4 linked regions of the Rhinolophus ferrumequinum genome follow. The protein of the gene in region 3 interacts with the protein of the main gene of each other region in a pairwise test. Links are inferred from orthologs where the notes say so. Each region holds a gene or a part of one and is shown on either strand. Other genes may lie near its edges.

Evidence for each region.
Region 1: the proteins of OTX1 (region 3) and RGS17 interact in binary tests that used the Homo sapiens proteins (3 or more experiments, as listed by UniProt). The two-hybrid records come from large-scale screens. The link is inferred for Rhinolophus ferrumequinum from reciprocal best matches to the Homo sapiens genes OTX1 and RGS17.
Region 2: the proteins of OTX1 (region 3) and RGS20 interact in binary tests that used the Homo sapiens proteins (3 or more experiments, as listed by UniProt). The two-hybrid records come from large-scale screens. The link is inferred for Rhinolophus ferrumequinum from reciprocal best matches to the Homo sapiens genes OTX1 and RGS20.
Region 4: the proteins of OTX1 (region 3) and CHIC2 interact in binary tests that used the Homo sapiens proteins (3 or more experiments, as listed by UniProt). The two-hybrid records come from large-scale screens. The link is inferred for Rhinolophus ferrumequinum from reciprocal best matches to the Homo sapiens genes OTX1 and CHIC2.

What each region holds. Positions count from the first base shown.
Region 1 is NC_046286.1:96,009,506-96,017,124, reverse strand, and holds the start of RGS17 (regulator of G-protein signaling 17), read left to right. Parts: upstream 1-4,435; 5' UTR 4,436-4,587; intron 4,588-5,232; exon of another isoform or gene 5,233-5,333; intron 5,334-6,562; exon of another isoform or gene 6,563-6,655; intron 6,656-7,619. UniProt on the Homo sapiens protein: Regulates G protein-coupled receptor signaling cascades, including signaling via muscarinic acetylcholine receptor CHRM2 and dopamine receptor DRD2.
Region 2 is NC_046297.1:24,429,472-24,437,655, reverse strand, and holds the start of RGS20 (regulator of G-protein signaling 20), read left to right. Parts: upstream 1-5,000; coding exon 5,001-5,159; intron 5,160-8,184. UniProt on the Homo sapiens protein: Inhibits signal transduction by increasing the GTPase activity of G protein alpha subunits thereby driving them into their inactive GDP-bound form.
Region 3 is NC_046296.1:26,506,558-26,513,916, forward strand, and holds the start of OTX1 (homeobox protein OTX1), read right to left. Parts: upstream 3,216-7,359; 5' UTR 3,118-3,215; intron 1,614-3,117; exon of another isoform or gene 1,547-1,613; intron 1,247-1,546; exon of another isoform or gene 1,145-1,246; intron 795-1,144; 5' UTR 730-794; intron 1-729. Other genes in the region: EHBP1 (EH domain-binding protein 1), read right to left, coding at 6,502-6,592, 6,811-6,925. UniProt on the Homo sapiens protein: Probably plays a role in the development of the brain and the sense organs. Can bind to the BCD target sequence (BTS): 5'-TCTAATCCC-3'.
Region 4 is NC_046288.1:16,508,610-16,517,011, forward strand, and holds the start of CHIC2 (cysteine-rich hydrophobic domain-containing protein 2), read right to left. Parts: upstream 3,185-8,402; 5' UTR 2,828-3,184; coding exon 2,709-2,827; intron 1-2,708.

The sequences.
Region 1 (7,619 bases), on a different chromosome or scaffold from region 3:
TATTTTCCATCTAAATCAGTTCCCTCAGAAGAGCCTGTTTCTAAGGTTTGATTAAAACCAGTTGAAGAAACACGATAAGCCCTGTTTACTAGAAGTAAAGGAAAAAATGTGTTTAAGCAGTCATATTTCAACTATCCCTCCACCGTTTCCTCTGGAGGAGTTTTTCTGGATGGAGCAGTCGGGGGTTCCCAGACGCAAGCAAATTTCTTTCTTTTTCCTCTGCTTTTCAAAGGTAAAAACAGTTGCTTTTTTTTTTTTTTTTTTTTTTTTAATGAGCATGATGTAAGGAAAGAGAGAATGAAATGGAAAGATGCTACACAATTACTTCCTGAAATAACCTTTCCAGGGTACCAAAGTCACTGAGGTAGATTCCAGCTCTCCCAATGACAAATACCCCGAATTATGAGTAAATGTACTATAAATACTTTGACGTTCTGTCCTTTCCCAATATCTTCTGTCTGCAAATATCTTGCCTGCAAATCTCCTGTCTGCCTTACTATGAAGTCACTATACCAAAATCTGCTGCTGTACCAGATTCTCTCCACTTGAAAACACATTCACACAGTACGGAAATGGTCATGATCAATGCTGCTTTTCATAGTTACCACACAGCTGTTCAAGGACAAGAGGCCCACTGAGCTCTGAAATTCTGTACAAAAAAAAGAAAAAGAAAAAAAAAGGCATCTCCATGGCTAAAATGCATTGAAATTCATTTCTGAGTCATATACAATAATTTTATATAACGTTTACACTTTTTGCTTGTAACTTGAAGACATACTAGCAGGCATATAGTGGACTTGAATAAGTTTACTAAATTGAATTTTTGACCCAGTCATCATTTGATGTCATCGGTGTTGCACATATTTCTGAAGACCCAGATATGCACATGGACTGCAAGTGATCAAACTCTATGAGGTCAAGGTCATTAAAGCTGTGGTCAGTCCATCCACCTGTTCAACACTCAGATCATAGGCAACATGTCCAGTTACTAGGACACTATTACTGAAGATTCTGGTTAACACATAAAAGATTACACAACAAACCACAACCATGAAAGAAAGTCACCAAGCGATTACACTTGACTTTGGCAAGTAAATTATTGGCAGAATAGTCAGGTTATCATGAGTGCAAAAATTTGCCCAAACAGCCTTTATTGCAATTAGGGAAGTTCATGGAAGTAAGGATCTTTTTTGTTATCAAGTATGCTTGTTTTAAAGATGGTTCTAGGAACACTACTCTGGCATCTAGTTTGAAGTGCAAGGAGCCATCTCTGACAGAGTGGACAGATGAAACAATGCAGTCTGTCTGTGCCCTTGTGAGAAACAACACATTCTGAGAAGCAGCAATGAGGATCCAAGACAAGAAGCATCACAGAAATAAAGAACACGTTATTCATTTTCTAAGCATGTTATTTATTCATTCAATCATGCATTCATTCACCAAATACTTACTGAGTATGTACTAGGTTCCAATGCTAAAGCTGTTCTAGGCACTAGAGATAAAACAGTGAAAAGTGCAGGCAAAGCTCCTGAGATACTTGATTCTAGAGGGCGGTGAGGGGATAGTAAACAAATAAATAAACGTTAGCTGATTCAGATGGTTGAAAAGTATTTGGAAGAAAATAACGCAAGGGGATCCAAGAGAATAACTCTGGGGCAGAGTACATTGGGTGGTAAGATAAATCCTGAGTAGGTGATAGATCAGCAAAGACCTGTAGGATATTAAGGAGCCTACTATGGCAAGATCTGGGCGCAGAGGCTTCCCAGACAGAAATAACAGCAAGTATAAGCTAGACTTCTTGAAGAAAGTACAAGAAACAGGCCGATGTGGCTACAGCACACATAGCTATTGTCTATGGGAGCCTTGTATAAAGACCTATGCTGGGACAAGATTGCATAGAACCTGCTAGGCTGTTGTAAGGGATTAGGGGCTGTATTGAAAGTGCAATAAAAACTCATTAAAGAGTTTTTAAGCAGAAGCGTGTCATGATCTGGTTATGTTTTTAAAAAATCACTGTCATGCAGGGTATCATGCGGGGTCTCTGGTCCCACTCCCCACATAAGAACACACCACATGGCGAGGCCAAAAAGGAATCCCCACGGAGCCATAGGTAGGGGAGTCATACCACTATAGTCTCGCTGGCAGCGGGGTTGGAGACACAGGAAGCAGGAGCCACAGGATCCGCAACCCACTGTCCTGCCTTCTCTGCCAACCAACCTGGCTTGTTAACTGCAACCCACCTCTCTGCAATCCGAAATCCACAATCTGCACTTGCTAGGCATAGCCACGGCAGTTATATCAGTGGCTAATGGCTAACCCGTAACAGCTGATGGCCAACTAGTCACAGCTGATGACCATCTACTACCCAAGCCAGCACTTTTCCACGTGAGGTCGAGAGCCTGGAAACTGCTCTCTGGGACTCTGTCCCCACAGATCATTCAGTTGTTGTTTGAAGACTGTGTTGTTTTGGGGCTGTGGAGGAAAGGCCAGCTGGAGGCTTTGGGGTAGTTCACGTGAGAGATTGATAGAGGCTTGACCAAGGTATAGCAATGAAGAGGGAAGAAGTAGATGAACTGGGGACATGTTTTGCAGATAGAGACACAACATGAGTTGCTAATTAATTGGGTGTAGGGGGTAAAAGAAAGACAAAATTAAGAATCACTGTTGTACACCTGAAACTAATAATATTGTGTGACAACTTTAATTAGAAAAAAACCGAAAGAGAATAAAGACGACTTCTAAATTTTTGACTTGAGTAACTGGATGGAACAATTTGAAGAGGAACATGTTTGGAGCGGGTGGATATCTGGAGTTCTGCTTCTGAGATGTCTGTTAAACATAATAATAGTACCTACCTTGGAGAAAAAAATAGAAACGTATGCAAAACATTTAGATCAGCACCTAGCACACAGTAATCGTTCACTAAATATTAACTATTATAATTATTCTTCAAGTGGCATTGCAAGAGTATTGAGGACAGAAAAGAGTTCTATGAGAGATCAGGACAGAAGATATCAATCTGGGAGTTACGTAGAATTCAGTGCTGCTCAAAACATTTTTGAAGAAAGACCTTATTTTTAATGCTCATGGGGCCAATTCGTTTGTAAAATCCACAAAAATGAATTACTGTACAAGTAAAATAAAACAGACAAAATACAGCTTAATGTGCTTGGATGTCAAGGCAATGTCCAATTGCTATAGAGTTTCTAAATCTTACTCTCAATTTGTGTACTGTACTTATCTTTCATTACAGACCAATAAGGAACAATTTGTAGACAACGCCAGACCAGAAAACACACTTTGAAGAGCACCAGTACTCAAAGCCTTGATGTAGCTAGAGAAAGGAGGCCCCTGGGGCAAACCCCGAGACACAGTTAAGTCATGTGGGGGGAGGGGGCCAGGAGGCCAGTAAAGGACTTTGCGGTAATGCCGACACTCTTTGAATGTATGAACTCACAAGCAAAGGGAAATCATATATACTATTTACAAGTAATCAGTTTTAATAGGTGTAAGAAAAAAAGCCGAATCATTCCTCCCAGAACTTACTCCTCTTCCCACAGATGGACACATCTGAAGAAGAGACACGCGCTTCCCTCATTCACCCCACAGACACTTCTACCTAATCCTCAGAGATGCAAATGCAGCGCCCATGATGCGTTCAGCATCCAAAGCGCCGTCCCTACAAGCAGGGCTCCGCTGGTGAACTGAACAATCATCAGACCTGCTAGCTACTGACTGAGCTGTCCCCCGTCCGGGAAGGATGCTCCAGACCCCAAGCATCAACACCTCTGTCAATAATTTCACGACTCTTGCCTTCTCTCACTCCCAACTCTGGCCCCAGCGGTCCCGCCGCCTGAGGCGAACACGTTCCCAGACCGAGAGCATCCGCAACCAGAGGGAAAAGGGTCCGATTTCTGAGTGAGGGCGTCAATGAAGGGAAGAAGTTTTCTGAAAGTCCGAGCCTGTGGTAAGCAAGCCTTGCTTCACTTCACAGTTTTTCTTGCCCGCCCACCCAGGGACTGCTTCCCCCGGGACCCCGCGGCGGCAGGCTTCTGGTTTCAGGCATTCCCCTAAACGCAAGGACAAAATAACCCGGGCCACGGGGGAACGGTGCAGTTGTGAAGGGCCTGGCTGCCACAGCCTCTCTAATCAGAAGGTTCCCAGGTCTCAAGGCCCCCGCAAAGCTCGGGACCAGATCGCCGGGGCCCGGGGGCCCCGCCCGAGACCCTCCTCGCCGCCCGCGCGGGACCCGGGCCAGCGCGCGGGGGCCGGGCCGCCCGGCGAGGGGCGGGGCCGTGACTCACGCGGCCGCGCGCGGGGGAACCGGCCCCTCCGGCCGAGCCCCGCGAGGGGCTGCGCCCGCCCGTGGGGCGCATGCGCTCTGCCGTGAGGCTCCCGCTCCCTCCCCGCCCACCGCTCCCTCCGCCCCCTCCCGCCTCCCCTGCATCCTCGCCTCTCTCCCTCTCCTCGCCTGCTGGGTGCTGAAGTTGGACGGATGGCAGCAAACAGGCTCCGCTAGAGGACCCAGCACCTCAGCCTCGCGCCCCCGGACCCATCGGAGAGCTGCCCACACCTCCAGGCTCCTGGGTAAGATGTTACCACTGAAACCGAGCGGTGCGAAGTAAATGACAGCAAAATGTCTGCTTTGCACCAATGGATGAATTTTTTAAAGGGGGTGGGGGAGGGAGGTGAAGGCAAGAGGGGGCGGAGAGTGCAACTGCCTTTGCCCTGGCGGGGGAGGCTGCCGTGCGGGGGTCTAGGCGCCGCTCGCGGGGCCGCTGGAGGGAGCAGGGGTCGCGCGGCAGGTCTGGGAAGTTGAATCCGCGTTGCCGCCTCGGCGCGGTCCGCTCGCCGCCCCCCAGCTGCTGCGGAGCGGCGGGGCGAGTGTCCTGCCCGCCCAGGGAACCCTCGGGTGGGTTCCCAGCGGAGAGCTGAGCGCCTTCGGGGAACGTGCAGAGAGGGCCAGGCCGAGGGCGGCGGAGACCCTGCGGGGTCGCGAGGTCCCGCGGGATTTTCTGGTTGGTTGTTAGAAAACCGAATGTGAAATTAACAGTGTACAATCGACCGATCACCTCGGGTGGTATTTTTTCTTTCTTACCTATGGAAAAATGCACTATTCAGGTGGAGAAGGTGTAAAAATGGGATTGCAAAAAACGCATACCTTGAGCATCTGAGGTGTTTGTTGTGTGTGTCAGGGTTGGGGGTCTCTTTTGTTCCTTCCCCTCCTCTTAGTCGAAGGAAAAGGAGTTCGTGTGTGCACGGCTTGAGGTGGATTCACAGCCACCGAGGGGCGAGGAGGAGGAACGCCCACCCAACCCTTAGCCGCTGCCGAGGTGGGTGTACCCGAGACTCTTGCTGCGGGTGATGATGATTCTTTTATTATCGATGGGAATCAGTGTAATAGCTGCCTCCTCGCCAGCCTCCCGCTTCCTCTCCTCTTCTTGTGCTGCGGCAGAGGCAGGGTGCAGACACTTGGCGGTTTCCTCCCCTTCTTACTACCTCCTTGTCTCCGTGAAAAATGTCGGAGGACTTGAGGATGGCGGAGGTACAGAGCTGGCCTCGGAAGACGCGGTGTGGAGATGCTCCGCGCGAGCGGGAGGCTGCTGGCAGCGCGTCCCGCGCAGCCCGCGCCATCCTCCAGAGTCACTAGGCTCCTGGAGACGGCAGGGATCGCCAGGCCAAAAAGGAGCCCGCCCTGCCGGGACCCGCCCTGCGCCCTCCGCCTCCATCCGGAGCCGGGACACTGGCTCACCTGGGACAATCTCAGTTGCTCAGGCAAGGCTGCCTCTGGCTCCTGACATAGTTTTCCAAACCTCCTTGACCCTTTGATAAATGCTTCCTTCTTAGGAGTCACCCGAAGGTTTTGTCTAGAGAACTTTGCAAGCTTCCCATAGCTGTTTCATTTTTAAAAATTGTTTTACAGCAAGATTATTTCCATCATGGGATGTCTATCTCAAATAATATATAAAGCGAAATCTTATAGTTTGGTTTGCATCTAGAATAAGCATTTCTGAGACTGGATGTCATCTGCATTTCCGGCGTTCATACATACTGGTTTTCCGGGTGATGAACCCTCATTTAATTGGAGAAATGAGAAACAATTTTTATTTTTGTAATGGAAAATAGTGTTTTTCCTCCTGGTTCATAGCTAGACACTGTGTGTATAAGGTAATTTTGAAAACTGAAACACAGTATGTAAATTGTATTTGTTTCTGAAGTCCTTTGTAGTATCAGTAATGCATGAAATATACATTGTAGCACTAATATCTAATGAAAAGGTGATTCCTACTCATCAATTCAAAGGAATGAGCCATTGACTTCTTCCAGTTAACTTGGTATTATTGAGCTATTTCTGTTAGCATGAACTAAAACAGTAAATAGCACACCCATGGGAGAGTAGATTTACTCACTATTTTTTATCATCTTAAAAACTATATTTAGAGAAACCATGGAAGAGTAGTTTATTTGTGATTTGTGGAGGTGAGAAAGTAAAAACAAGTGTTTATTATTACAAAGTGATTGGATAGCATCGTTTATTAAATAAAATCAATCTCCATGGCAGTGACACCTGATCTCAGAAGCATGGGCACTCATCCTGAATTTGTAGTCTGAAAGATTCTGAAAACCACTTGATTTACAGAACAAACAACATAAGGTGGGTGTTTTGCCAATTTCTACCCTTTTTGTTCTGGTTCCTTAGCCATTTCTTGGTATTTTGTTTCTGTGGAAAGGAATTAACAAGGAGAATTAATTTGGTGTCCCTGTTCAATTCTTAAGGCATTCAGCTTTACCGTCTTAAATACATAGCTCTTTGTTTTTAGGGTCCTAATATATTTAATAATGTTGAAAGTCTAATTCACTATCATTTGTGTGGACTTCTTAAACTTCTGAAAAATAATAATAGATAACATTCCTTAACATTTCCTTGGGCCAGGGACTTTGTAGAAAAGGGAAATTATATATATTCATATATATATATACACACACAGACACATATATATGTATATATATACATATATATGTGTGTGTATATCTGTATATATATGTATATATACATATATGTATAATATATGTATATATGTGTATATATATATATATATATATCTCACACATACATGCATGCACACACACACACCAGGGGTGCCAAAAAATGTATACAAGTGGACACTTTGGTCAACATTGCTCAAGCAGTGTGGTAGTTCACCGTAATCAGAAGTGTCTGGACACTGATGGTAACCACTTTGAGCACCTCTTGTAATTGCAGAAGTCAAATGTGACTTGTATTCATCTTTTATTATCATTATATATTATTACTATTTTAATAGTTTTCCTTTCTTAAAATGTGTATACATCATTTTTTTGGCACCCTCTGTATATACATTCTTATCCATTTGACATTATTGTAACAACCAAATCTAAATCTGAATTAATAAAAATTCTGGTTAACTCATAGACTAAAATGTAAGAAAACATTTACCTTGTAATCTACAGTTGTAGAAATAATGGCTTTCCTGTTAGAAGTCAATTTGCTGAAAGACATGGGCTTTTCTGAAAAAGTGGAAGGTGTGCATAGACAAAGAGGTATGGAGCCAAGAGGGATGGGAATCCATCCAACCACA
Region 2 (8,184 bases), on a different chromosome or scaffold from region 3:
GCAGAGTCAGCTATATCCAAATAACACGGCCTGAGAATGGGATAGATGTATTTCCCCAAAGAAAACCAGAGTGCTACTATTAGAAAAAGAGTACATAAATGGTGGGGGGCGGGAAGTCCACTACATTCTTGACAGACCAGCATACACACACACACACACACACACACACACACACACACAGAGGCATACCTCCCTTTTTTTCCATATATACACTTTCAGAAATGCTCCCACTTAACATATCCCACATGAGATTTAAGATGTACTCACTCATTCTAAAAAAAGACAACCCAGAATCTTTTCTACTTACTGCATCTGGATGAAAGTCAAGGATCGTTTGGTGACTTGCAGTCTTTTTGGTCTGGTGTATGTGTGGGTCCTTAAGGCTGTCAATCCATGGTTAAGTGATGCTTCTACACCACTTTCGATACACAGTGATGGAGGAAAACAAGGTAACTGGATTCATGATATACAGCAAAGACAGGCTATTCTATCAATAAAGCAAATGACTTGATCCACAGTCTGAGCTATGACTAATTGTGCAGTCTGAAACCCTCCCTAGTCTTGGTCTTCCATAACTGTCTGAGATGAGCCTCTGTAAGGATTTTCCTCTCTGGATCTGCATATCTTCAGTTTCCTTTACCTAAGGAAAGAGTGTTGGGTGGGCTTTGCCAGGCTTAGGGTTCTCTGATAGTTCAACTCCGTTAATACTTTACTCAATTGGTTTTCAATCCATTTGTTTTCCATCACTGTTATGAGTTAGTAACAAAGTCAGAGTTTTATTAATTGTCCATTAACCTTCCTCCTCTCATCACACTCTGAGATGTTTGTGCTTCTTAGACACAATTCTCCCAGCTCTGCCTGTTAGTTACACTGACACTTTAAGAAATGTCCTTTAACTTAGGATAATGTAGAATAAATATATGTATTTGTCAACAAGTATTTTACTCAACTTTCAATAAATTGTAAAATTCTTTTCTCATGCAAACTCCTCTTACTGCAATTTCCAGGAAACTTTTTCGGCACAGAATGCCAGGAAAGGCCAGTCAATGGTATTGTGCCATTATATGCATACACACACACCTCAAATATGAAAAAATATGTTTACTAGAATCTAACAAACACTGAGTATGCAACATTTTATTAAAGCAAATTAAAGATGAAAGAATTTTCATAGAAATAGTTGCTGAGTAGAAAGAAGTTTCCAAAATAGAGAATCATTACAAGTATGAGGAAAGTGCTAGAGATAACAAATATCCAAATAAAATGTTTCTTCCAAGGTTTAACCCCAGAATAGATGTGCAAAAGTGAAAGTGGGAGCAAGAGGAAAAAAATTCTGGTGGACCTGTGATATTCTTAAAGAAAAAGAGAAATACAAACAATTTGGTTTGCAGAGTGGCACAGAACACTGTGCTCTGTCCCTAGTGTATGGAGATGTGGAGGCTGGTCCCAGCTACAGTATTATATGTAGTCCTTGGACATATCACCTAATATCTCATGTAAGTTCCCCATCCACAAAATGAAGAAGACAAAATGGGCAGGAGGACAAGATGATCTTGATAGTCCTTTCCAGCTCCAAAGATTGCACATGTCAATTTGAGACTATTAATACCACCTGTTCTGTTTTCATTCTAAGAGTCCAGAAACAAATACCAGGTTTCTAGACCCTCAGACCAGTGATAGTTCAACCATATCTTCACTTAAGTGTCCCTGAGAAACATTTTTTTTAACTGTTAAGATATTTCTTGCCCCTACTCTGAAACATTTGGGCACTTGAGAAAGTTTCCTATCTTTTTTAAATAAAAACTTTAGCAGCATTATTGAGATATAATTCACATATTATATGATGCACCCATTTAACATGTACTGTTTATTGATTTTTAGCATATTCACAGGGTTGTGCAACCCTCATTGCAATCAGTTTTATAACATTTTTATCACCCCAAAAAGAAACCTCTTACTCATTAGTCGTCACTCTCCATCTCTCCCCAAACCCTCCTGCCCTAGGCAACCACTAATTTACTTCCTGTATCTAAAGATTTGCCTATCCTGGGCATTTTCTTATAAGTAGAATCATACATGTGATCTTTTGTGACAGGTTTCTCTCACCCAGCACAATGTTTTCAAATTTCATCCATGTTGTAGCATGTTGTAGCACTTCATTCCTTTTTATTGCAGAATAACATTCCATTGTATGGATACACCTCATTTTGTCTATTCATCAGTCGATGGGAAAGTGGGTTTTTTCCAGTTATTGGACATTTGTGTATAAGTCTTTGTGTGAACATATATTTCACTTCATTTGTTTCAGTAGATATCTAGGAGGGAATTGCTTGATCATAAGGTAGCTCTATGGTGAACATTTTGAAGAAGTGCCAAACTGTTTTCCAAACTGATTACAACATTTTATATTCTCATAAACAATGTATGAGAGTTCCAATTTCTCCACATACTCACTAACAGTTGTTATTGTCTTTTTGATTAGAGCCAACTTATTGGATGTGAAATGGTATCTCACTGTGATTTTCATTTGCCTTTCCCTAATGACTAATGATGTTGAGCATCTTTTCATGTGCTTATTGGTGATTTGTATATCTTCTTTGGAAAAAAGCCTGTTTAGATACAACACCCATTTTCACTTGTTTGGGGGTTTTTGTTGTTGTTAGTTGTGAGAGCATTTGAATATTCTAGATGCAAGTTTCTTATTACACAGCTACGACTTTCAATACTTTCTTCTATTTTGTGGGTTTATATTTACTTACTTGATGATGTCCTTTAAAGAACAAAATTTTTTAATTTTGGTGAAGTTCCACTTGCCTATTTTTTTCTTTTATCACTTGTGCTTTTTGTGTTGTATCTAAGAAAGCTTTGCCTAATCCAACGTTACAAAGATTTATCCCTATGTTATCTTCAAAGAGTATAATAGTTTCAGCTTTTACATTTAAGTCTATGATTAATTATGAGTTAATTTTTTTATGTGATTTGAGGTAGAGGTTCGACTTAATTTTTATGCCTACGACTATCTAGTTGTTCCTGCATCATTTCTTGAAAAAACAGTTCTTTCCCCATTGAATTGTTTTTGCACCTTTTTGAAAATCAACTGACCATAAATGTATGAGTTTGTTCCTGGACTCTCAATTCTATTTCATTGATCTATGTATCTATTCTTATGCCAGAACCATAGTCTTAATTACTGTAGCTTTGTATTAAGTTTTAAAATTGAAGGTGTGAATCCTCCAAATTTGTTTTTCTTTTTTGGGATTGTTTTGGATATTCTGTGTCCCTTATAATCTCAAATTTTAGAATCAACTTGTCAATTTTTGGAAAAAAGGGAGCTGGATGTTGATAGAGATTGTTTGTTTTACAGATCAATTTTGAGCTCCTGGGATCATTTTACAAAAGGAAATTTCTCCAGTTCATAGTCCCCAGTAATACACACCTGAGGCCCTTACCTCTGTGCCCCCAGACCCAGCAGAGACAACTCAGACATTAGATAACTTCTTTAAAGAAAGGTATTATGTTCTACCTTTTTGTACTCACTTTGTTTAAAATCTTATTTTTATAAAGTACTTTATAAATATAAAGTATTTATAAATATGAAATATTTATAAAGTACTTTATAAATATAAAGTATTTATAAATATGAAATATTTATAAAGTATGAAGCCAAATTCTTGGCTTAATCATTAGATGACTAGCTGCCTCATAAGAAAATCATTTTAACTAATTCTACATGACATAAATATAAAGAGTGATAATCCTTAACCTTGAGTTTGCATATGAGTTTAGCATACATTTCTATCCACAAAGCTGACTGCTGCTACTAAAATGATATTTTAAAAAACCTAAATATATTAGGTGAACCATTTGCCTTTCAATTGCAAAGCACAGGACTGTCAAGTAATCCATTTTCATTTTTTTAAATTAGTTTATTGGGGTGACAATGGTTAGTGTGGAGACAGAGCCCCAGAGAGTACTTTCCAGGCTCTCGGCTTCACATAGAAAGGTGCTGGCTCAGGTAGTAGATGGTCATCAGGTGTGACTATTTGGTCATCAGCTGTTACTGGTTAGCCATTAGCCACTGATATAACTGCCATGGCTAAGCTGGCAAGTGGTGGAGTGTGGATTTCGGATCATGTGGCTCCTGCTTTCTGTGTCTCCAACCCAGCCACCAGTGAGACTATAGTGGTATGACTCCCCTATCTATGGCTCCATGGGTGTTCCTTTTTGGCCTCACCAAGTCCTACGTTCTTATATGGGGAGCGGAACCAGAGATCCCGCATGACACCCTGCATGACAGTTAGTAAAGTTACATAGGTTTCAGGTGTATAATTCTGTAATACATCATCTATATATCACATTGTGTGTTCAGCACCCAGAGTCAGTTCTCCTTCCATCACCATATATTTGATCCCTTTTACCCTCATTTATTACCGCCCTTCCCCCTTACCCTCTGGTAACCACTAAACTATTGTCTGTGTCTATGAGTTTTTGTTTCTTCCTTTGTTTGTCTTGTTCTTTTGTTGTTTTCAGGTTTATATACCACATATCCGTGAAATCATACAGTCCTCAACTTTTTCTGTCTGACTTATTTCACTTAGCATAATAATCTCAAAATCCACCCATGTTGTCACAAATGGCACTATTTCATATTTATCAGTATATATTAAGTAACATATTGCTTGAATCATTTTTTTCAGTTTTGATTTAGGATTAAATTTTAATTAGGAATACATTGCTACCTGTAGAGGGCAGTCATAACATAAGTAGGCATTCAAAATAAGAGGCTCCACCTGGAACAGAACATTAAAGATCTGTGGATAAGCTGCTGATCCACAAAACAGATAATCCTTTTGCTTTGATTAGTGTCACTTTCCAGGGAGCCCCCCAGCAGACTGAGAGATGGCTCAGCATCAGCCAAAAGAAAAGAAATAGGGTGGACTCTGGACTGGTGTTGTTAAAATCAGGCTACAGAATTCATTTGGAGCCTTTATTGTAAAAACATGCCCAGGCTTTCCCAAGACAACCAAGAATGCATTCAGAAATATTTCTCCAGGCCATCCATGTGGAAGCAATTTCTGCCCCTGCCTAGGGCTGAAGGATATAATGCAAATATTCACCAAACCGCAGAAAACGAAGAGGGCACCAAGGCTGTGTATGACGTCAAGGTAAAACAATTTCCACAATCCATGATCCTTTCTTGACAAAGAAAGGGTTTATCCAGAAAGAATATAAAACCATAAAAAAGCTTCAGCGTCATTGCTCACTCACTTCATCTTACTGACAATATATCAAAATTGTTTTCAAACCAACTGTCATGCAGGGCATCGTCAGGCAGGGTCTCTAGTTCCGCTCCCTGCATAAGAATGCAGGATATTGGTGAGGCCAAAAAGGAACACCCACAGAGCCATAGATATGGGAGTCATACCACTATAGTTTCACTGGCGGCTGGGTTGGAGGCACAGGAAGCAGGAGCCACACCATTCGAAACCCGCTGTCCACTTGTCTCTGCCCAATGACACACCTCACTTGATAACTGCAGTCCGCCTCTCTGCAATCCTCAATCCACACTCCACCCTTGCCAGCCACTATTTTCTGCTAGCATAGCCTCGGCAGTTATATTAGTGGCCAATGGCTCACTGGTTACAGCTGACGGCCAACTAGCCACAGCTGATCGCCATCCAATCACAGTTGATAGCCTGGAATTACTGCACTACTCGAATGAGCACCTTTCCACATGAGGCCGAGAGCCTGGAAACTGCTCTCTGGGACTCTGTCCCCACACCAACCCCAAGAGAAAAACTAGAACCTTGATGATAATTACCTGATCTGTCCAGTTTTCTCATCTAAACAGCTCCCATTTACCAAGACAAATTATTCTTTATTTATTTTTGTTTGTTTGTTTCAGGAGGTAATGTTTTAAAAAGCAGAAAACCTAGACAAATTTTTGTGGTTATTGCTATTAAACCCTGAATGTTTTTCTCTGATATAAAGATTACACCCCATATAGTAATGAAAGAAAAATTATAGACTGCTTTCAACAAAAAATGGAAGTAAGAAAAATTGATATACAAATACAGGGTCATAAGAACATTAAGGAGCGAAGGGGTGTTTTTCTTTTCTTTTTTTTTATATACATATATATATTTTTTAATTTATTTTTTTAATTTATTGGGGTGACAATTGCCAGCGAAATTACATAGATTTCAGGTGTACAATTCTGTATGACATCATCTATAAATTACATTGTGTGTTCACCACCCAGAGTCAGTTCTCCTTCTATCACCATATATTTGATCCTCCTTACCCTCATCTCCCACCCTCCACCCCCCTTACCCTCTGGTAACCACTAAACTGTTGTCTGTGTCTATGAGTTTTTTTTTGTTTTTTAGTTTTTCTTAGATGTTTATCATATCCCTCACACTGTGGACCCCCCCTCCCCCATCCACTATCTCTCTGACATCGCACCGAGCCATCCCATTTCCACTATCTCCACTCCCAATGCTGTACTCTGCCTCTTGTAAATGTTTACATACCTATATATACATATATATATACACACACATATATATATATAATATTATAGTTGGCATTCATTATTGTTCAGCTTCAGGTGTACAGTGCAGTGATCAGGCATCTACATCTTCTCTGAGATGGTCTCCCAAATGGGACACATGTCTATCGGATACCCTACAAAATCTTTACAACATTATTGATTACGTTCCCCAGATTAATTTCAAAACCCCGTGACCATCTTGTGGTTACTGACTGTTTTCTAATCCCCTCACCTTCCCCTTTACCCACACCACCCCACCCATCTAGCAACCCTCAGTTTTTCCTCTTTGTCTCCAAAACTGTTTCTGATTAGTTCATTCACTTATTCTTTTCTTTAGATTCCACGTATAAGTGAGATCATATGGTACTTATCTTTCTCTGTCTGACTTATTTCACTTAACATATGTTCTCTAGGTCCATCCATGTTGTTGCAAATGGTAAGATTTCTTTCTTCTTTATGGCTGCGTAGTACTCCATTGTATAAATGTACCACAGTTTCTTAATCCAGTCATCTGTCGATGGGCATTTTGGTTGTTTCCATGTCTTGGCTATTGTGTATAGTGCTGCAATAAACATAGGAGTGCATAAAGATTTTTGAATTGGAGTTTTGGATATCTCCGGATAGATACCTAGGAGTGGAAGTACTGCATCATAGGGTAGTTCCATTTTCAGATTTTTGAGATACCTCCATACTGTTTTCCATACTGGCTGCACCAATCTGCAATCCCACCAAGAGTGCACAAGCGTTCCCTTTTCTCCACATCCGTGCCAGCACTTGTTGTTTGTTGATTTATTGATGATAGCCATTTTGACTGGGGTGAGGTGGTATCTCATTGTGATTTTTATTTCATTTCTCTGATGGGTAGTGAGGTTGAGCAATTCTTCATATGTCTGTTTGCCATTTGTATGTCCTTTTTAGAAAAGTGTCTCTTCAAGTCCTCTGCCCATTTTTTAATTGGGTTGTTTGTTTTTTTGGAGTTGAGTTGAGTGAGTTTTTTATAGATTTGTGATATTAATCCCTTGTTAGATATATCATTGGCAAATATCTTTTCCCATTCAGTAGGATCCCTTTTTGTTTTATTGATGGTTTCCTTTGCTGTGAAAAAACTTTTTAGTTTGATATAATCCCACATGTTTATTTTTTCTTTTACTTCCCTCGAGCGAGGGGATATATCAGTAAAAATCTTACTCCGGGTAATGTCTGTGAAGTTTCTTCCTATATTTTCTTCTAGGTATTTTATGGTTTCAGATCTTACATTTAAGTCTTTAAGCCATTTTGAATTTATTTTTGTATATGGTGTAAGGAGGTGGTCCATGTGTTATTTGCATGTGTCTGTCCAGGTTTCCCAGCACAATTTATTGAATATACTGTCTTTACTCCATCGTACATTCTTGCTTCCATTGTCGTAGATTAAATGGCCATATAGGCGTGGATTTATTTCTGAACTCTCTATTCTGTTCCATTGATCTATGTGTCTGTTTTTATGCCAGTACCACGCTGTTTTGATTACTGTAGCCTTGTAGTATAATTTGAAGTCAGGTATTGTTATACCTCCCACTTTGTTCTTATTTCTCAAGATTGCCTTTGCTATTCGGGGTCTTTTATGGTCCCATATAAATTTTAGGATTATA
Region 3 (7,359 bases):
GGTCCCAGCGGGGAATGAAAGGTGACCCAAACAGATGCCGAAAGGGTCCCGAGGATTTAGGAGGCCTGTGTTCAGCAGGTCCCGTGCGCTCTCTGACTACCCTACCAGCTGAAACTGCGACCCCAGGACCGGATCCGGACTGGAGAAGTAGGCCTCAGGGTCGCTCGCGCTGACCTGGGCTGGAAGGTCAAAGCCTCGCTTCCCTACTTGTCCCGAACCTGAGGCGCTACCCTCAGGGGTCGGGAAGTGGTGCTGAGGGAGTGGGACTGGGGCCCCAGGGGACCTGTCTCTTCACCCCTCTTAGCGGGAAGTCAACGCAGGCCTGGGACCTGGGCTAAGGAGTTCAGGGAGAGACGTGAGAGCTAAAGAAGTCTCCCGCCCCTATCCTTCGGGACGCACGGCCTGGGCTGGGAGAATCCAGCCTGCAGAGAAGGGGACGAAAAGGAAACAGCCGGGGCTCTTGGGCCTCGGCGACTCTGCTAGGCTGCAGTGTGAGTTTCAAAGACTTTCTTTAAACTTAACACTTCAGCTCGGTTACTTCGGAGGAGGCGGGGGCGCGGGGCCGCAGCGGGGCCCTGGGGTCCTCCGCGCACCAGTAGGGGAGCCAGGCCGCTCTCCAGCCCCGCCCACGTGCCGGGACCCGGGAAGTGGGGACCCGTCTGAGGAGAGGAACGCAAGAGCACCCGGCGCGTACCAGAGTCCCGAGCGGCCCGGCGGCTTTCTCCTTACCTCCCTCAGCTCTGGGGCTGCTCACCATCTACCTCGCGCCCTCACGAACCCGCCGGGCAGTCAACCTGCAAAACAGAACCGCAGGAATTATCCGCCGGGCTGGCGTTGTCTAGGACCGCCGATTTCTTTCTTTTCCCAACTTCCCTCCTCCCGTCTCTTCCTTTCCACTGGCTTTATGCGTGTCCCTCCAAGTTTCACTTTATTGCACAGACACTTTGCAAAACCCCACACGCTCCCGAGACACTACCTTGCCCAGGATCGTGCCAAGGGGCCTCAAGGGGGAGGGTGGAGTGAGAGGGGCAGAGTTGGGAGGCAGCTCGCGGTTGCCGCTGCACTCCCGGTAAAACGTGAGGCGGTGGGGGCTGGGGAAGTCCTGCAGAGGCACTTTACAAACTAAATAAATCAAGCGATTTACCTTGTCGGTGTGGCTTGTCTTGCCCGGTTGTTTAGGTGATTGGAAATGTAGCCTGATGAAGATTGATCACCTTTCTACTGCCCTCCCTGGGTATGTGAACGCGAGGTGAGTGCGTAACGGGGCTAGGCTGCCAATCCTGGGCCCCGCGCGGGCTGAGTGACAGGGAGCCGGGCAATGGCAGCCCGAGTCGGGGGTTACCTCCGCGCGCCCCCGCCCTCCCCCGCCCCCTGCACCCCGCCCTCGCTGCACGCCCGCCCCGCCCCGGTCGCGCGCTAACTCCCGGGCTTGGCTGGCAAACTACGCGCACAGCCAGGCGAGGAAGACTTGCACAGACCCGGAGCCCCAGCCGCGGAGGGGGACGCCGGTCCCCAGGCCGCCCTGGAGCCCCCGCCCTTCTCTCACCCTTTCAGCGCCCCGGAGGGAGTGGCAGAGAGGAGGCGAGGTGCTGGAGAACCGGTTCTCTAGCTCTCCCGAGCGCCACCCGACTCAGCGGCCGGGTTGTGGGCGCGAGGACTCAGGCGGGCTGGAGGAGAATGGGCCCCCAGCCCCCGGCCCCTCGCGCGGCGCTGTGGGCCCCAGCGTCTTCTTCCATTGCGCCGCCACCTGCAGACGGACGCCGCGGGCAGCTCGTGCCGGCACAGGCTACTCTGCCGAGCGCGGGCGCAGCGCCGGGTGCGCAGAACCCACCTCGGCGCCCCAGGACTCCCGCTCCCGTGAACAGCACCCGCAGGAGAGGCCCCGCCATTTACCTGCTCCTCGGCGTTTCCTGAAGTTCCCAAACCCCACGAAGGGTGTTTGCAAATCTTAAACGCTTCTTCTGAAATGTCGTGTCCCCTCCCAGTGTTCCCTTCCCCTTCCACACACACTCTACTTCTGAATCGAAAATTTTTGATAGGAAACTTTTTCTTTCACACTCCGTCTCTGTCTCTTTCCCAGTATTCTTCTACCAGGGACAATCGGGTGGAAAAGGTGGTCACAGATCCCTGCCTTCATTTTCTTTCCCACATGCCGCAGAAGGAGCCTCCCTGAAGCGATTTTCCCGTATTGTTCGTACTGGCAAAGCCCATTTCTCAGCCAAACAAACTTCTCAAACACGTCCACCTGGTGGACTTTTCAAAGCTCAAAAAACGTCTTTTCGCCCCAATCCTGAGCAAGGCAATTCTTTCAAATGGCACCTCCTCCTGAATATTAGGCACGACTTTACTGCCTTTCGAGGAATTCATACCCCTTTTTCCTAATCCCCCTTCCCTCCACCCCTACAGGCGGAGTGAGAAGTTTGGACAGGAGTAGGTGTGAGAGAGAGTCAGGGAGCCGCCGGGCGCATTGAGGGGGTCGGGCACCGAGAGAGGACCGGGCGCTGCGCAAGGAGCAGAAAGAAGGGGGAGCCCGCTGAGTGGAAAGGGGCCGCGGCCGCCGCTCATCAAAGTGCTTCCCCCTCCCCCAAGCGACACTTTCCTTTGGAGTCCGAATAAAATACGGTAACAGAATATGATGGAGGGCACACTGTTTCCTTAACTGCTTCTCAAAGGACCTGGGAGATCTTCTTAGGACCTTTAATAAGGCTTTGGTCGGTTCTTTTGTTGATCTCTCAAAATCAACTCCTTCTAATTGAAGTTGGAGCTGAAAGCGAGCTAATGTTCAAAGAAAGTGGCCGCCAGACCAACGAAATTACATTTTTTTTTTTTGGAAGATGAGGGAACATCTAATCAAAGGGGCCAAGGAGGAGGGGTCGGAGTGGGGGAGTACGAAGGAGAAAAGGAGGTTTTACAAGATCCTTCTCTGGTTCACAAAAGTCAGCGACACGGGCGCTTCTCTCTAGAACAAAGACACCGCAGCCCATTCACAAAAGAGAAAGACTGAGAGAGAGAGAAAACAATAAAAGAAACGAGAGAAAAGGAAAAACATGAGAAAGAAAAGCTTTAACTGGAAAAGAAACTGCGCAGAGCGCAGCGCTGACCCGGGCGGGGACACACCTTAGGCTTGCGCAGGCCCCGGCAGGGAGTAGCTCGCGAGGCCCGCGGCTCGGAGCCCTCGGAGACGTTGCAGAGGTTTACAGAAAGAAACGAAATACACCCTCTCCTTCAGTTCTGGGAAAAGGCGCGGGCTGGAGCACAATAGTTTTGGGGGAAGCGAATGCGGGCGTCCTGGGGTGCGCTTTGGCAGCGACTGTGTCCCTAGCAATGCGCTGCTCCAGCCCAGGCCTGCGCGCTGTGTGTGTGGCTTAGTCCTCCAGGGCCTGGGTGCGTGCCTTGTCCTAGACCCGCCACCTCTTGCTCTCATGCTTTCTCGGCGCCCGGTTATGCCTGCAGCTGCAGCGCGGGGCGGAGGTCCGGCTGGGCGAGGTAGGGCGGTTGTGCGCGTTGGAATGTGCTCAGGCGGTCCCGAGGGCCCGCCACGCGGGAGCCCTGCGCTCTGGGTTCCAGATGCTGCACGGTCTCGGGGAAGTTGGGAGGTATCAAGTAGCACGGTCTCCCCCACCCCCCCCACGCCGCCAATGAGAGTACTTATCTAATCCCAAATTGCAGGCGAGTTTTCTTAATGCTCAACCCATAAAACCCCGGGATTAAGAGAAGAAAAAGAGAGGGGAGAGGGAGGAGAATAGAGAGAGACTGAGATGAAAGTTTCTTGTATGCGTCGTACAGGACTGAGGCGGCCGTCACTAGGCACATGTCCAGGTGGGAGACACTTGGCCAGAAGCCTCGACCTCTCCAGCAACGGCCGTAGCGCGGGGAGGGGAAGTGGGGGCATCCCCGAGAGAAGGCAAGTCGACTCAGCCCGTGGCCCGCAGGGCCGGGGAGGGAGCGTGGGAGTTGGGCTCCGGGACCCGGATCCAGCATCCAGGTGACCTCGAGGCCAGGCCATACTCTGGAGGACACTTGGTACAAGGGGAGGGGTTTGGCTCCGGGGACGTGGGATGCTGGCCAGAGGAGGAAGTTCTGCACCGGCCCGCCGGGCAGTGCCCAAGCCAGCCGGTTGCCAACGCTCCTCCTCCTCGGCGACCCCCGCGCGCACAGCTTCTTTTCCTGCAGCGCGGGCTTTCGGGTTCCCGGCCTCTCCGTATGCTGGGCTCGCGCCTGTGCTCAAGAAGCAGCCCCTGGGCACAACGCGAGGCAATCGGGACACGGCGCCCTCGCCACGGGCCTGACCCAGCTAGTCCTGGGGGCCGCTCTCCGCCGCCGCTGCGGGGCGTGCGGGCGCCACGGCGCCAGGTCTTCGGGAGCAGACCAAATGGGACCCCAGCGAGGCTCCCGCCTGGGGCAGGAGGGGCAGCAAATCTGGGGCTTGGCAGGTCGGGAGCGGCTTGGGGGAGTCGCCTCTCTGTGAGGCTCCTCGGGAGGGAAGGTTCCCCGAATCCAGCGTAAATGGGGTGGGTGATGCTGGCCTCCCAAACGTCAGGCTGCTCTGGGCTGGCGATTTCCGTCTGCCGGCTTGCCAGGGCTTAGAGCGTGCGTCTGAGAGCTTCCCCCAGAGAGCTGCCGCTGGCTCGGCTCTTCTGCTCGAATAAAGAGGGCAAATACCCGATTTCACTGAGTTCCGATAACTTTTCAATAACTTCTTAAAATTTCTGTCGTGAAGAAATTCTACGGTAGCAAGTGTTTATCATTTTGAAAGACTGGCAATTGTAAGTGGCTGCATATTTTCGAACGAATTTATGTGTATGTATAAATATTTGTGTGTATGTACACACATATATGCATATACCTATATATATGTATATATACATACATATATATGATCTAGGCAAAAGTATATTTATTTGCGAGTGAACTGTTTTCTCTCTCCAGACTTGTTGAATGAGCTTTCTTTGTTTCGGACACCTCTGTAGAGGAGTAATGGAAACTACCGTAAAAATCGCCAGTTTCTTTCTGTTGCCTAGAACTTCTTAAAAGTTCCCTTTTCCTCACCTCATACACACCTGCAGCACTTACCCCCTCCCCCCCACCCCCCAGCAATAAACCTTTCTTTCACTTTAGCATCTACAGATTTGCAGGCTATTAGAAGTTGTAGTTCTTCCTCATATGGCTGTAAAATTATAACAATTGAAAATAATAATGTGGAGAATTCATCAAGATATTAACATTTTTTTCAGTGCTGTGGAATCACAAATTTCCTCAAATCTTTAACAGAAATGACCGTTTATAAAAGATAATAGTTTACACTGCTTAAGAAAATATGACTAACTGCTTTTCAATTCGAATTCCTGTGTCAACAGGGCCCCTCCGGGATGGTGTAAACTTATTCAGCTCCAAATACAGCCCAGTATCCTGCCCAGTGCTCAAGTGGACCATTTTTTTCCCCCACATGAAAAGTCCTACAGAAACACAAACTTCTCAAACCAGTGTCAAGTTTTCATTGCAAGGAAGTAGCAGAGTGTTTAAGGTAAGAAAGTTTCTGCTTTTATTGAAAATTTATATATGACTTCAGCATTGTAATAAATAAACAGGTAACCATTTTCACAAAAAAATGACAGTGCTACGCTAGAGAAGAAAATATTAACTGGGGGATTTACTCATAGTGGCAAGACAAACTTTTATCAATACAGAATAAATATTAACAGCATTCTTGAGCCAATGTTGAAATCCAACAAAATGTAGGAACCAAGCTAGATGTAATAAATAATTATCTAGAGAAAAAGATGGCGCATTCTCAGAAGATAAGACTGTCTTTGTAAACTGATGCATGTCAATTAATACCATCTTCACAGCTCACCTTCAAATCACAGGACTTGTCTCAGGCTATGTTAAAGGGCCATCATCCTCTGAGGAAAACAGAGGAGAGGAACTCTATTATCCTTACAGTGAAATGCAAAACAACTGCAGAAAATCCCACTGGTAAATAGAACACAGTTTAATAAGTAGAATGAATATGATCTAACTATAAAATTTAGGTAACAGAGTCAGTGTTACATATGGCAGGACTGGAAAAAAAAATCATTCATGACATTTTTCTTATTCCCTTCTTACCCCCCTCCCACCGTCATTATGCTATTAACAACAACAAAAAATGTTTTCAATTTCTTCCTATCAAAAAGTGAGGGAAAATACTGAGGGAAGGGTTTTCTTTTCTTTCTTTCTTTGAACAGTTTCTTGAACACTCGTAATACCAATCATTCACAAGGTGTCTGTGCAAATCTATCTCACATGATTTCAAGGAAATGATTAACTCAACAAAAAAACCCTTAAACAAAGCTATTTTGGAGTTCTGTCTATTATCTGGAAAGGAGGGAGGAAAAGGGGTGGTGGTAAAGAAGCATAATCCAGCCAAACAAAATGTTAAAAGTTTTAAATCAACGAGTCTGACATTTTCTGGTCTGGGGACCCAAGACTAAAATGTTGGGAAAGATTCTGGTCCGGCTACTATTGAAGAACACATTTCTCTTCTTTCTTGGCCATCTTGCCTTTGTTTTGCTCCAGAGTTCGCTCCAAATGCTCATCTTCTTCTTCGGCCCTGGAAGTCAAATAGGAAACAAAATTATTTTTCTACGTGGAGGGCAAAGCCAGCATTCCCCGCTTGCCCTGCATTCCGAGCCCCAGCGGGAATGGGCACAGCGGGGCCAGTGGGAGGCTGTCCCGGCCCATTGGAGACCTCTGGACTGAAGTTTCCGCAAACTTCTCGGCCCCTCAGCAGGCAGCAGAGCCTGGACCCCGATCCCAGTGCCCACTTACTGCTTCTCCTGCGCGTCCAGGTCCCTGACGAGCGCGTCGCGCTTGTTCACCAGGGCCACCAGCTCATCCAGCAGGAGTTGCTCCCGTCGCTTCTGGGCCTCAGTCTTCTGCCAGTCTGCAAAGGACCGAAGGCTCGTTACTCACCCGCGGGACACTCGCAGCCCCCCCCCCCCCCACACACACATCCTCCCTTCCCGCCTTTTCCAGTTTCCTTGTACTCTGCAAACCATATTACAGAGGCACTAGCTAGTGTTCTGTGGGGTGTTTGGCCATCGTGGTAAGGTTTTCACCCCTAAAACGCTGCTTTCTAAATATTTTCCGCAGATGGAGATGGCTACGGCTGAGTTGGACCCTGCAAAAGAGACCAGGTGTGAACCATTGGCTAGCCGGAGGTGCGCACCTGATTTCCGCCCTAGTAGGGGAGGGAGAGCTGGAGGCCTAGAAGAGGTCGGCCCAAGGCTTGGTGGTGGTGGATGTGGGTAAATGAGGAGGCGGGAAGCAGAGATGGGCGATAAAATCATTCTGAAAGGCTAGAGAATCTGCCTGAGA
Region 4 (8,402 bases), on a different chromosome or scaffold from region 3:
CCACCCAATGTGATGAATTCTTTGCATATACTGTCTCATTTAATAATCTTAAAAGTTAGGGACTGGGGGCCAGCCTGGTGGCTCCATGCTCCTAACTCCGAAGGCTGCCGGTTCGATTCCCACATGGGCCAGTGGGCTCTCAACCACAAGGCTGCCAGTTCGATTCCTCGATTCCCGCAAAGGATGGTGGGCTGCGCCTCCTGCAACTAGCAATGGCAACTGGACTTGGAGCTGAGCTGCACCCTCCACAACTAAGACTGAAATGACAACTTGAAGCTGAACGGCACCCTCCACAACTAAGACTGAAAGGACAACAACTTGACTTGGGGGAAAAAAAAAGTCCTGGAAGTACACACTGTTCCCCAATAAAATCCTGTTCCCCTTAAAGTCCTGTTCCCCTTCCCCAATAAAAAAAATCTTAAAAAAAAAAAAAAAGTTAGGGACTATAACCATCCCTATCTTAACTGAAGAGACATAGATAAATAATTTACCCAAGAAGCGGCAGACTAGATTTCAGCCCAGAGCCTAGAACCAAGGTAACAGGAAGAGAGGTAACTGGTTGAGAGAAATCACAGAAATATTAACTCTCAATATAGAAAGGAATACTATTAACCAGTATGCCACCAGTGGTGGCATATAGTTCCTCCTCATACTACTCTGCAATAGTGGTTTGCAATCCTGGCTACACAAAAGATTCACTAGAGGGACTTTTTAAAAAAACTATCCATATTACAGAATTGTACACTTGAAACCTATGTAACTTTACTAACATTGTCACCCCTATAAACTTTAATAAAGAAAAGGAAAAAAAACTATCCATGCCTGGGACTCTCACTCAGATACTTGGCATTCAATTGGCTTGGTCTGGGGCAAAGGCAGGGATATTTTTTAAAGAATTACCCAGGTAATGCTACTGGGTAGCTAAGATTGAGAACCTTCTCTCCCAACCTGTTAACCTCTCCAAGTAGTCAACTACAATCATATTTACTGATCATCGATTTGGTTCTGAATCCTTTGCCTATTATATTTTCCATTTACCTAACAAAGTGCTTAGCTTTTCTCTTCCTTAAACGGAGGAAACATTACAACTATAGCTACACCTTTATAAATAAAATCTTGCCAGCTTTGCTTTGACATGAGGAATGTAGGGGGAAGGGTGGGCAGACAGCATGAAAAAGTCTGAAAATCCCTTTAAGCACCCATATACTCCTTAGGTTTAAAATAATGTAAAACTGCCCTAAGAGTCAAATTAAAAATTAAATGGCAGGCTATAAGACTAAAAAAGTCTGTGAAATATGTTAAAGAAAGATTTAATATCCATGACATTTGGTTATAATTCTTAATTCTGCTGGTGATGACAGTTAAAACACTGAATAACTGTTATTGTGGTGATAAATTCCATTGTCTTTTCATGGCGCTGTGACAGCGATTATGCAGTGTTTTTACCCTGTTAAGTCACCTGAATATAAACTAACAGGTGCTAAAGAAATCAAAACATTATATAAGCATACCCAAACAACAATATGGCTGGTCATACCATGGATTGAAAAATGCAAGGATTTTGATGACAATCTCATATGAGAAGTCTTCCTGTTTCACTAAAAGCTATTCATTGCACATCCCACTCACCCTAAACCAAAATATAATGAAAACTGTTAACAGTCTCCATTTGCTGGTCCTTTTATGTTACTAAAAACGTGAACTGAGATATCTCACAAGCATGGAAGTCTGATCTATGATTTAAACAAGAGATCTAAACTGAAGAAGAGTATAAACAGTCCAAGTTGTACAAAACTCTGGACTTTTGGAGAAACATTACAAAACTTCCTGCTTCCGGGTAGCTCATTATTTGATTGAAATCTTCACATTCCTTTATTAGTCATGACCTTTCGGAAGGCTCTCATTCCATATTGTTTAGATATCAGACTTTTAAATTATGTTAATCAGACTTACAGGAACCCTTATCAAACGAAGAAGTCATCCCAGAGTTCATACGCCAAGGAGGGACTTAGATTACAGAGAACCCTCAGTAACCTGAGCAGTGTGTCCACCACGTAGATTTAAAAAAAAAAAAATCAGTTGTAGACATATATCGTTCTGCATGTCTTAAAATATATGTTGATCTATACGTTTTTATTCTATACAATTACAGGAACTTGCATTAGTTCCGCAGAAACTGACTCTGCAAGAAACTGGGAAGACCTGCGAGTATGCGTGAAATACAGACACAATGACAGTGAACCGAAAGTCATTACCGATTGTCACTGGGGTCTCACACGGCCCAGATCTGTCCTCGGAGCCATATGTCACTAGACTCAAAGGCCCAGACAAGGAGAGAGAACTACAGGTTAACTAGATGAAAAAACAAGGGGGAGGGACCTCATGAATACGTGTATTTCCATCCCGAAGCTGGAGGGGTGTCCCGCAGGGCAGACCCTCGAGAAAACCCTCTGCTTCTGAGATCCGTCACATCGCTCCAGGCCTGTAGGGCCTGCTAAAAGGTGTGTGGGGAGGAAGCGCAGGGTCTATCCCCTTCCGAGACCGAAACATATGAAAATAAAGCAAGTTCTCACTTCCTGGTCGCCTACTTTCCCGAAGGCCCCCGACACAAGACGGACTGCGGGGAAAGAGGGCTCCCGAGGAGTAAGGGGGGGCCCGGCCCAGCCCTGAACCTCCCGTCCTCTCCCTCGCCCTCCTCCGGGCCTTACACGGTGACGTGACCAGAGCCGCGGACCACCACCGGGTCCGGAGAGTACTTGAGCAGCTGCTCCTCCAGGGCCCGCTCCTCGTCCTCCTCCTCCTCATAGATCTCGTCGAAATCCGCCATCCTGAGCCTCCGAGGCCCCCTGCCCAAGGGGACCTGACTCCAGGGGCTGGGGTTGGGGTATGGGCTGGCGAGGCGGCGGAGGCTGAGGGGAGTCGCTGCCGCGGGCTCAGAGGCCGCGGAGTTGGCTCTTGGCTGTCTCCGCTCCGACTACACAGGAGATGGGGTCCCGGCCGTCGCCGTCGCCGCCATTACCGTCAGCAATAACAACAACACAATGTCAACATCCGCCCAAGGGCCGATACCACCAGCACCACCACCGCCTCCGCCGCCACCGCCGCCGCAGCAGCAACTCCGGCAACCACAGCAACAGCCAGAGCCACCCGCAGCGGGAGCAGCAGGCTAAGGTATCGCGAGACTTCCCGGGAGCGAGGGCAGGCGTGTGGGCGCGCGTACGTGAGGCCTCGCGCGCGCCCTGGCTGCCTTACTTCCTCCACTTCCACCCGCCGACGACGCCTCGGGCGCGCGCTCCCACGGCGTGGCTCCGCCCCCCAGCAATTGGATCGCGGACCCGCAGGGGAATAACTCTGCGGACCAGATGCGCTAACCTCGACTCAGCGAACAGAGCTCCGAGTGTCCAGTGGGGCACGTGGTTCACCAAAGGCGTCTCTAACCAAAAGAACTAAATATGAAAACCCTGGCTGAAATAGAGAATTTATTGTGCGTTTGATTGCCATTTTATCTAATAGTCTCGCTTTTCGTCAGTTTCTTAATCTGATAAGAACCAAGGTCTGCATTTCCCCAATGTCAGGAGCCCCACAGACACTCTGCAAACATTTTTGTCCATTTTAGTACAGAATTTTTTAAAACTTGTCCAAATTCAAGCATCTTGTCCCACCATCCCCTTAAGTAGTTTAACATGTGAGGCCAGGGATGCTGATACCTTTTTTTCTTACAAGAAAACTAACTGTAACTAACACGAAACAAAACTGACAAATTCTCTGGATTCCAGATTGAAAGATGCAGTTTCCTGCACCACAGCCCTCATCAACCATAACCTGTTTTCTTCCACTTAAGATCTTAGGGAATCTGTTTACTCCAACAAAAGAAGGGAAGGAAATGGGTGGGGCAGGGGAGGAGGGGAAGAGATGGGAGGGAAGGGGAAGTAGAGGAAGAGTTTAATGGATTCCTCTAACCTGCCTAGACCACTAGTAAAGGCCTAAGGGTCACCTTGGATACTTGGTTTCATTGTCAAGAACCTGCCCTACAAATAGTTCCTGGCATACAAATAGTTCATGGGCAGGAGTGGTCTCCTGAGTTATGGATATGGAGCATATACCGTGGGGACAGGAAGGGAGAGTAATATTGGACCCAGCACTGGTCAGACTCTTCTCCAAGTACAATGTTCACACCCTAGCCATTTACTGTAGATGGGTCATTGTTGAAGTTGACAAAGTACAAAGGAGGGCAATAAGGACAGTGAGAAATGCCAAACTATCTCCTATTGGAAATGGTTGAAGGAAATGAGCATAGTTAGCCAAGAAAAGATGAAGGAAGAACACAGTGGATGCACAAGTATCAGACTTCCTGTATATCTCCCTAGAGGACATTTATTCATTTATTCATTCAAAAAATGTTTACTGCCGAGCTCCAACCACATGGCAGGCACTGTGCAAATTGTGTGTGTGTGTGTGTGTGTGTGTGTGAATGAGATACAGTCCCTGCCTTCCAGTAGCTTATTTATCACAAAGGCAAGCAATTGTAATTCTGTTCGGTGCCCCCAGAAGAGTATCCAGATGGTTCTAATGAAGCACACAGAAGGCAGCTTGATTCGGTGATTCACAAGGCTCTGGAGCCTGACTTCTGCCTTTATTCTCAGCTCTGCCACTTACTGTGTGACCCTGGACAAGTCACTTAACTTCTCTGTTCCTCATGTGTGAAATGAGGACATAATAGTACCTACCCCATTGGGCTACTCTTCAGATTAAATGATTTAATATATGTGAAATGCTTAAAAGAGGGCATGACATAGAGGGGGAAATAGGGGATCTTCTAAGGCCCCTCCAGCTAATCAACTCTATGAGGAGCAGCACAGTTTTTTGCATTATGTAATGCAAAAACACATACGTATAATTTAATACTCCCCAAGACCCTTGTGAAGTAACCAAGGAGGCTGTGATTTATTCCTTAGTTTCAGAGATGCTATGTGACTTTATCATGGGCACATGGCTATTTAATAGTCAAACTCAAGGCTTCAACTCCAGTGTATTGGGCAAGCCAATTTTCTTCTTGGCAGGAACCTAAACGCTAGTGGTTACACTCAGTTGAAGAAGTAGCTGCAAATAGGAGGGTGAGAAAAGGGAACAAGAGGAAGGAAGGTCAGTCTGTCCCAGGCACTGACACACACCTTTCTGTGGCCGAGATGAGGGGCCAGTGCCCCAAAGTATCTGAATCATCACAAAGCTGACAATTTTCCAAAGTCAGAGGAAGTCATTCACAGCTCCTGAAACCTCCAATACTTTCCACAGTTACCGCTCCAGAGAAGGGGCTCAATAAATTTTAACTGTATTGAGATATATTGTTACTGATGCTATTTCCAGAACATTATGAGTTAATTAGGCTTCTGAGGGCTGTGAGAACCTTCCCCTTATCTTAACACTAGTCCTCTATGGGAGAAATGTTCTGTTCTAAGATCTATTCAACAGAGAGATCTTTGTAACTCCCATCGCCTCAGTGTAAGGTAGGGGCTGCCTTATTTTTGTTCTTCTATTTTGCTCTTTTTCTTGCTCTAAAAAACCTGTCAGAGCCAGCATAAGGGTGTGGGACCTGGACAAGGCCCAGAGGGTGAGGGAAAATGTTGACATCAGAATTCCAAACTCCACCTCCAACCCTCCAGTCTCCAATTTCCTGTCAAACTCCTTCCCCAGTGTCTTCCTGGGGATGAAACCCCTTCTCAGTATCTTTTCCCTCGGCGTTCAGGTGCTTTCCTGTTCTCTACTGGAAGGACTCCTCTCTATTTGAGTTCTCCTTTATTTACATTCCTGCTTCACACACTTTCACATTTGCCTTCAGATCAAATAGCTCCAAACCAAACAGGATAATGCCTCAGGGGCCTCATGAAGCAACAAATCCTCAGTTGTTTTTAAGGCTCACATTCCTAGGTTGAAAACTTCCAAGTTCTGTCACTACGTAGCTGAGTGGCCTTCAGCAGATTCAGTTTTCTAAGCTTCCTTTTCTTCATCCTGAATTGAAACCTGTGTCATGGGGTTATTAAGGGTCAAATGAGGTAATGTGTGTGCTATAGACTGAATCATGTCCCCACACCCAAATTCACACATGGAAGCCCTACGCCCCAATGTGATAGTATTTAGATATAGGGCTTTGGGGAAGTAATTAGATTCAGATGAGATCATAAGGATGAGATCCTCAGGATGGGGTTAGTGCCTTCATAAGAAGAGACCAGAGAGTTTGCTTTCCCCACCACCTTCCCTTTGATGTGAGGACACAGAAAGAAGACTGCCACCTGCAAGCTAGGAAGCTGGCTCTCACCAGGAACCAAATCAGACAGCACTTTGACCTTGGACTTCCAATCTCCAGAATTGTGAGAAATAAATTTCTGTTGTTTAAGCCACCCCAGCCTATGGTATTTTGTTATGGCAGCCTGAACTAAGACAGCATGTAAACTCTCATTTTTCCACTCATTCATTCATTAAACAATTATGCATTGAATTATTCGCATGTGCCATATTCTGTGTCAGGAACTAGGCTTTAGCAATAAGGCAGTAAATAAAACACAGTCCCTGCCTTCATGAATCATACAGTTTATTAGGGAGGGCTAACAGATGATTACAAACATAACGAATTTTTAGAATTGTGATCACTCCTGTGGAGAAGAAGAACAGGGGACCATGAGAGCAGTTAATGGATCCAACTCACTCTGAGAAATGAAGAATTCTTTTCTGGAGAAATAGCATTTAAGTTAATGAGCTAAGCAAAAGTATGAGGTTAGGGAAATAGAAGAGATGAGAAACTTTCAGACACTGGGAACAGCATGCTTGTCTTAGTCTGTTTGGGCTGCTATAACAGGATACCACAGACTGGACAGCTTATAAACAACAGAAATGTATTTCTCCACCCTCATGACATAATCATTTACCAAAGCCCCCACCTCCTAATACCATCACGTTAGAGGTTAAGATTTCAACATATGAATCTGGAGAACAAATATTCAATCTATAGCAATGTTTAAAGACACTGAGGGAGAAAAGAACATGGTCTAAATTAGGTACAAGCCAAAGCCAGTGTGGTTGGACCATAGTAAGGAAGGCAGAGCCAAATTGAGACAGGGTTGAAGAGGTTGATAGAAACTTGAAGGCCTTGGTAAGGGGATAAAAGTAAAGGAGATACACTGAAGCCAGGCAATAACATCAGATGTACATTTTAAAACCCCCAAATGAGAGGCCAATAGTCCAACCTACCCAGCATGCATCCCCCACTTCTTCTGAAAGCAGCACACATCCCACCCTCCCTGGATGATTTGTGGTAAATCATATTTCCCCCACTCTCAGTACATGTGATTAGGTTAAGCTCCAATTCCAAGAGTGGACATATAACCAAGGGCTGAAAATCAGAGAGCATGAGATACCCTGGGGCACAGTGGTTGGTTTGAATGGATACATGATTCAGACAGAGTCAATAAGATTAAATACCAGGGCTTTTAACAGAACTATTGGAAAGGAGTAGCTGACCTGATTTTCTATGAATCCACTAAAAGCCATATTGCTCTTGTAATGGTAGAAACTGCCTGAAAATGATGCCAACACTGAGGAAGGGATAAAGCAAACGTGACTTTACCCTGATGACTATGTTTGAGTCCCCCGAGTTTAGCCACAGCTAAAGCTCTCCCAAGTTTGTAGGAGAGGATAGTGAATTCAGTTCATGGAATGTGAAACACCCAATGGAGTAGAACATAGATAACAGAGATATTAGATAGATGGATAGATGTGTGGGTGGATGAATGGATAGATAGATAAGACAGAAAGGGAGAAAGGAGGAAGGGGGAGGGTTCAAAAGAGAAGTCTTGGCAGGAAATAAATACATTTGGTTCCATCAGCTCATACATGATAAATGTAGCCATAGAAGTGACTAAGATGGCTCAAAAGCCAAGAGTGAGAAGATAAAAGGATCTAGGATGAAGGAATTTCAGTGATTAGAGATGAGGAGAGGAGGAATGACAAAGGAAACTGAGAGGGAGGAGCCAAAGTGATGAGAGGCAAACTGAGAGTGTGGAGTTATAAGTACAATAAGGAGACAGTAATCATCCATGTGAGATGCTACAGAGATTATGTAATATAGGAATCAAGCAGTGTCCAGTGTCCACTCTATGGAGAAGAATAGCAGGTCCTGGAGAAGGACTCAATTTGTACAACCAGCAATTGGCCGTCAGAGCCAACACAGAACCCTTTGACTCTAGAAACTCATAAAAACCCTAGATCGAATATAACCATTTAAAAATACAGAAACAAAAGGCAGCATAACTCCCCATTCTTTGAGTGTGAACTATACATATAGACTTCCTTCCACAGAGCACTATATGGAAAAGAGGGGAAGACTAACTTTACGGTGGTAACACCTGACA